Linked DNA regions of Callithrix jacchus. The protein of the gene in region 1 purifies or fractionates together with the protein of each later gene. This does not show direct contact. Links are inferred from orthologs where the notes say so. Each region holds a gene or a part of one and is shown on either strand. Other genes may lie near its edges.

Region 1 (2,804 bases):
CTTCCTAGCCAAGTACCATGACCCTGATGATGAGCCTGATTGTGCCCCGCCCTTTGACTTTGCCTTTGACCGAGAAGCCCTCACTCGGGAGCGCATTAAAGAGGCCATTGTGGCTGAGATTGAGGACTTCCATGCAAGGCGCGAGGGCATCCGCCAACAGATTCGCTTCCAGCCTTCTCTGCAGCCTGTGGCTAGTGAGCCTGGCTGTCCAGATGTTGAGATGCCTAGCCCCTGGGCTCCCAGTGGGGACTGTGTCATGGAGTCTCCCCCACCAGCCCTGCCAGCGTGCCCCGGCCCTGCACCTGACACCATTGATCTGACCCTGCAGCCACCCGCAGCAGCCAGTGAGCCTGCCCCACCGAAGAAAGAGGGTGCCATCTCAGACAACACTAAGGCTGCTCTCAAAGCTGCGCTGCTCAAGTCCTTGCAGAGCCGGCTCAGAGGTGCCTTGTGGGTAGGTCGGGTGGGTAGAGGGGAAACTTGGGACATGGACAAGGCTTCAGGCTTTTACTTTCTTCCTTGCCCAACTTCCCCGCAGATGGCCCCAGCGCACCCCTGGAGGCTCCTGAGCCTCGGAAGCCAGTGACAGCCCAGGAGCGCCAGCGGGAGCGGGAGGAGAAGCGGCGGCGGCGGCAAGAGCGAGCCAAGGAGCGGGAGAAACGGCGGCAGGAGCGAGAGCGAAAGGAACGGGGGGCTGGAGCCTCTGGGGGCCCCTCCACTGACCCCCTGGCTGGACTAGTACTCAGTGACAATGACCGAAGCTTGTTGGAACGCTGGACTCGAATGGCCCGGCCCCCAGCCCCAGCCCCCACCTCTGTGCTAACCCCTGCCCCAGCACCAACGCCAACCCCAGCCCAGCCTACCAGCCCTCCCCCTGGCCCTATAGCCCTACCCGCTGGCCCCCAATCACAGCCTGCAGGTTCCACCTCTGGCCCTGTACCCCAGCCTGCCTGCCCACCCCCTGGCCCTGCACCCCACCCCACTGGCCTTCCTAGACCTATCTCTGTCCCTGCATCACTCCAGGTTGCCACTTCTACCAGCCTCCTGGCTCCCCAGTCACTTGTGCCGCCCCCTGGGTTGCCTGGCTCCAGCACCCCAGGAGTTTTGCCTTACTTCCCATCTGGCCTGCCACCTCCAGATGGAGGGGGAGCCCCTCAGTCTTCCATGTCAGAGTCACCTGATGTCAACCTGGTGACCCAGCAGCTATCTAAGTCACAGGTGAGAGGGAGGCCCAGGCCATGGAGACACCTGGATCTGGGCCAAAGGAAAATGGGTTCAGGAAGTGGTCCTTATTCCACAAAAACTGAGCAGCACATGGCGCTTTATCCCTGAATATGCCTTCTGGCTCACAGAAGGAGCATAATGCCAATGAAAATGTTGTTAGGAGACAAGTTAGATATGGCCTGGAAAGTGCCTGGCACTGACTGCTGAGACTGGTGTTAGCACTCCTAGGTATCCAGGTGGAGTAGTCAGCAGCACTGGGATGGGGTGCCCTGCAGACTCAGTCTGCCTGCATTGTAACCTATCATTCCTTGCAGGTGGAGGACCCCCTGCCCCCTGTGTTCTCAGGCACACCAAAGGGCAGTGGGGCTGGCTACGGTGTTGGTTTTGACCTGGAGGAATTTTTAAACCAGTCTTTCGACATGGGCTTGGCTGATGGGCCACAGGATGGGTAAGGTGGCTGGACTGAGCTCCTAGAATGGGGCTGTGGGGAGAGGTTCCTGGTGCAGGAGGCCTGCACCTGTGGGATGGGTGAGGCTCCAGCCTAGGCTAATAGCACCACTCCCATCCCTTCCCCTGCAGCCAGGCAGATTCAGCCTCACTCTCAGCCTCCCTGCTTGCTGACTGGCTCGAAGGCCATGGTATGAACCCTGCCGATATTGAGTCCCTGCAGCGTGAGATCCAGATGGACTCCCCAATGCTACTGGCTGACCTGCCTGACCTCCAGGACCCCTGAGGCCCACAGCCTGTGCCTTGCTGCTATAGTGGACCTAGTTCCAGGATCCATGGGAGCATTCTCAGAGGCTTTAGCTCTGGACCCAGCAGGTGAAGCTCAGCTTGGATTATTCTGCAGGTTCTTCTCAGACCCACCTTTCAGCCTTAAGCAGCCACCTGAGCCACCACCGAGCCATGACAGGATCGGGAGATCCCGACTCCCCCTGAACAATCCTTTTCAGTATTATATTTTTATTATTATTATGTTATTATTACACTGTCTTTTTGCCATCAAAATGAGGCCTGTGAAATACAAGGTTCCCTTCTGCGTCTGACTCCAGGTGTAATTTTTGGGGTTTGGGGTAAGACACCATCAGTAGGGGAGCAAGGAGGAGCCAGGTGCCTACATTTCGGGGCTAAGCAAATATGTTTGTGTGCACGAAGCCAGTTAATTCAGGTTCTGAAGGTTTATTGAGCCCTTCAGTCCCTACCGACTCCCAACCCTGCAGTTTGTCCTCTGCCTACTCATGTTGCTAAACCTCAACCCCCAGAGGGTGTGGGGAAGGCCTCATATGCATGCCTACCTTGGCTGTGACTGTTTCAGGGTGGTATGCAGTAGCTGTGGCCTTGGCATAGAGTTTCAGGGGCTGGGATGGGCCATCAGGGGAAGCTGAGTATGATAGTGCTGTGGGCTGGGGGTCCACGGTGCTCACCACAAGGGAGTAAGTTGGTGGTAGGGAGGCTAAAGATGGGACATGGTTTAAGAGCAGCCAGAGGACTGCTGGGCTGTGGCCTGGAATGCACTGTTCACTCTGTTTACTCTGCACCACTCACCTAGCACACTGTGGTGACCCAGACAGGTCCACAGT
Region 2 (3,298 bases), on another chromosome or scaffold:
CATCAACCCTTTGGCTCCTTTAACTCCTCGCTCACCTTGGCTGCACTTGCAATGTCCACAGCCTCCACAATGTCAGCCTGGCATATTTTTGCTGTGTCTTCCCCATCCTCCCCTTCCAGAAACCTGAAAGCAAGGGTTAGGATGGCAGTAAAGTTTCCCAATATGAAACAAGTGTACCAACATAAAAACGAGAGAGTCCTATAAAGCAGGGAATGGGGTGGCCCAGATTAGGGCCCACTCACCCAGGTTCCTCAGCAAGCAGCAGCTCAGAACGAGCAGCTTTGATACTTGTTTCCTCTTCCTCAGCTTCCGCCACCTCAAGTCGGCTTCGAGCTTTGGCTTTAGACTGTGGTAGCTTTAACATTGTTGGTAGACAGGAGTGGTAGAAGAACCACAGAGTAAGTGGGGTCACAGGAGGGCTACCTGGCTCAGCCTCCATCCAACTCACTCAGACACTCCCGGCCTCCAACACTTCCCAACTCTCCAGCTGGACCTCACCTTTCGGGATTTGTCAATGCGACAGAACTTCTGGACCACCTCCACAGGGACGGGGGCGGGGCCTGGGAATGGGTCCTGGGCCTAGGGGAAGGAAGGACGCAATTAGCAGGCAGCCTTAAATTGACCCCAACCCCTTCACTCTCGACCTGCCTCGCCACCCATTAGGTCCCACGCTCACCCCGGACAAGCTCCGCTGGGACTCCGAATTCTTCCATTCTCGGGGTTTCTTCTGGACCTGAGGCTTCTTAGAGATCCGAGACTTCTTTAAGATGTGAGTACTTTTTGCTCCCTGGGGACGGAGCTCCCGATTCTTCTTGTTAGGAGGAGGCCCTGGAGAGGCTCCGGCTGCGGTCGGAACAGTCTCTTCCTCCCAGTATCGCCGAGGTTTCTACGGGCAGATCAGTAGCCCTAATAACTCCGCACCTACGCCACGCCCCCCGACTCCGCAACTAAAAACTTATTTTCCCACCCAGAGAGGCCTCTACCTTTTTCTTGGTCTGCAGTTTGTCCTTCTTGGGCGGGACATCCCTGCCCGGCTTGGGGGCCGTCTCCATCTCGCCCACCCGTACGGCGATCCACGTGCAAAACTCCTCTCAGCTGCCCTACAGTCGCCTTGAAAACTTCCGGAAGCCCTCTGTCCGTCATCCAATCAGCAGCGTACCAAATCTGAAGCTCTCTTAACGCCATCTTGAGTGAGGGCACGCTCTCTTTAGAGAGGCGGAACAGCTCTTGGCACCTTATCGCGAGCGACAGCTTATACAAGAGAGACTTTAAAAAAAAAAGGGCAGGTCCAGGACCAGGGACTAAGTAGCGGTGCGATTTCTTTTTCTGGATTAGTTTCCCCGTCTTGCCTAAAAATGTCCGAGTCTAGTCTTTTTAGCAGAACGCCACTCACTAAACATGTCAGAACTACACTTCCCATCAAGGATCAGAAAGAAACTTCCCGACACAGTCTTTTCCCAGCATTCTTTGTTTACTTCCGGGTTTATTACTACTAAAGGGAGAACGTGAGTAGGTTAGGATTTCGGTTGAGGGGTTCGGGGTTTCGCGTTTCGCCCATCATCTCCTGGGAACAGGGTGGAGTCGATATCCGGGACGTGGGGAGTTTGCGGTCCCCCTCAGGGCTGCCTCTTAAGAGTGCCATCATTTCCGCAGGCCAGATCAGAAAGGGGAACTCAGGTACCTTCCAGAGAGTAAGATCCAGCGCCCTTCTCTCGCTCCCCTTAAGCTTTCATCCCCGCCATGGCGGAGCTGATTCAAAAGAAGCTGCAAGGAGAAGTGGAGAAATATCAACAGCTACAGAAGGGTAAGGGAGCAGGGTCAGTGTGGCCTCGCCCGATGCACTCACAACCCAAAACCATACTAGGATAAGGTCTGTTGCCCCATCTGGGCCGTCGCGTGCGGAGACTTTCCCGCGTCAGTACTCGTCCCTATTCACTGACCCGCTGCCCCCATCCTTGTTTACTTCCTCAGATCCATTTCCTCCTGACTAGGATTGTGGGGATTGGTGGCACATTTGATGTTTCTAATCTTGCCTTTCCTCTCATCCCCAGACTTGAGTAAATCCATGTCGGGGAGGCAGAAACTTGAAGCACAACTAACAGAAAATAACATCGTGAAAGAGGTGAGGGACTGGGATTTGTGCGGCGAGGAGGGGCCTGTACTGGCCATGGTTCTGATTACATATGTCCCATCCCTCCATCAGGAACTGGCCCTGTTGGATGGGTCCAACGTGGTCTTTAAACTTCTGGGTCCGGTGCTGGTCAAACAGGAGCTGGGAGAGGCTCGGGCCACAGTGGGGAAGAGGCTGGACTATATCACAGCTGAAATGTGAGTCTAACTGAACCATTGGAGTAGAGGAGTTGAGGAACCATTGCAGAACAGCTCTCCATAGTCGCCCCTAGTCCAGTTCCTCCAGACCCCTTCCAACACCCCTTCTGCACCCTTCCCTAGATCTCAAGAAAGAGAAGTCTCTTTCTTGAGTTTAGCACCCTCCATAGTAAGTCCCACTAATTTCTCCTTTTCTGCTTGTCTTTCCTCAGTAAGCGATACGAATCCCAGCTCCGGGATCTTGAGCGGCAGTCAGAGCAACAGAGAGAGACCCTTGCTCAGCTGCAGCAGGAGTTCCAGCGGGCCCAGGCAGCAAAGGCAGGGGCTCCTGGCAAGGCCTGACCCCATGGTGGGGGAAGGGGAGGGGCGGGAATGAGGCAGCTCTGGGATCTATACTGTAGCTAATAAAATGCAAAAACACCTGCCTCTGTTTCCTGATCAGGCATATCTCCACAGCCCCTTCCACCTTAACACACACCACCTATATTACTCCCTCAGGTCCAAACTCTTGCACTTGAAATCTCTCTGTGGCACAGTGTTTTCTTTCTTGAAAGTGAAATCCCAAATGTCCTCAAACCTTCTTTTAACTCTCCCTCATCTTGGTTGGCATGATTCTTTTAGAAGGGCATTTACATTTGTGAATGTGAGGAATGTCAGTTTAATTGAAGAATACAGTTCTCTAACATGAGGCCCCAAGGTGAAATGTGATTACCCTCCTTGCCAGCAGTCCTGACATCTCTATTAGTACTTTTCAGCCTGTCTTCCTAGAATTTGCTTGAATATAGCTTAAACTGACTTAAAAGCCTAGCATGTAATGCTTTATGGTGTTATAAGTCCTCCTAAGTTTATATGTTGTCCATAAGGTTGTTCAGCCATTTCTTTGTCCAAAAATTGTTTTATACACATTTGCAGCATTGTTTGAGGAAACTGTTCACCAAGTAACTCACTTTTTGCTCCGTTCATGGGGATA

What was found. The genes of interacting proteins can lie anywhere in the genome.
Region 2: the proteins of MAPK7 (region 1) and PFDN6 purify together in Homo sapiens (affinity purification with mass spectrometry; 3 studies listed by BioGRID and IntAct, with this or other methods). This does not show direct contact. The link is inferred for Callithrix jacchus from reciprocal best matches to the Homo sapiens genes MAPK7 and PFDN6.

The regions. Positions count from the first base shown.
Region 1 is NC_133506.1:83,281,116-83,283,919, forward strand, and holds the end of MAPK7 (mitogen-activated protein kinase 7), read left to right. Parts: coding exon 1-443; intron 444-538; coding exon 539-1,218; intron 1,219-1,538; coding exon 1,539-1,672; intron 1,673-1,803; coding exon 1,804-1,957; 3' UTR 1,958-2,263; downstream 2,264-2,804. UniProt on the Homo sapiens protein: Plays a role in various cellular processes such as proliferation, differentiation and cell survival. The upstream activator of MAPK7 is the MAPK kinase MAP2K5.
Region 2 is NC_133505.1:41,531,082-41,534,379, forward strand, and holds PFDN6 (prefoldin subunit 6), read left to right. Parts: upstream 1-1,469; 5' UTR 1,470-1,505; exon of another isoform or gene 1,506-1,513; intron 1,514-1,653; 5' UTR 1,654-1,740; coding exon 1,741-1,804; intron 1,805-2,051; coding exon 2,052-2,122; intron 2,123-2,203; coding exon 2,204-2,328; intron 2,329-2,540; coding exon 2,541-2,670; 3' UTR 2,671-2,753; downstream 2,754-3,298. Other genes in the region: WDR46 (WD repeat-containing protein 46), read right to left, coding at 36-123, 243-355, 499-579, 677-886, 984-1,052. UniProt on the Homo sapiens protein: Binds specifically to cytosolic chaperonin (c-CPN) and transfers target proteins to it. Binds to nascent polypeptide chain and promotes folding in an environment in which there are many competing pathways for nonnative proteins.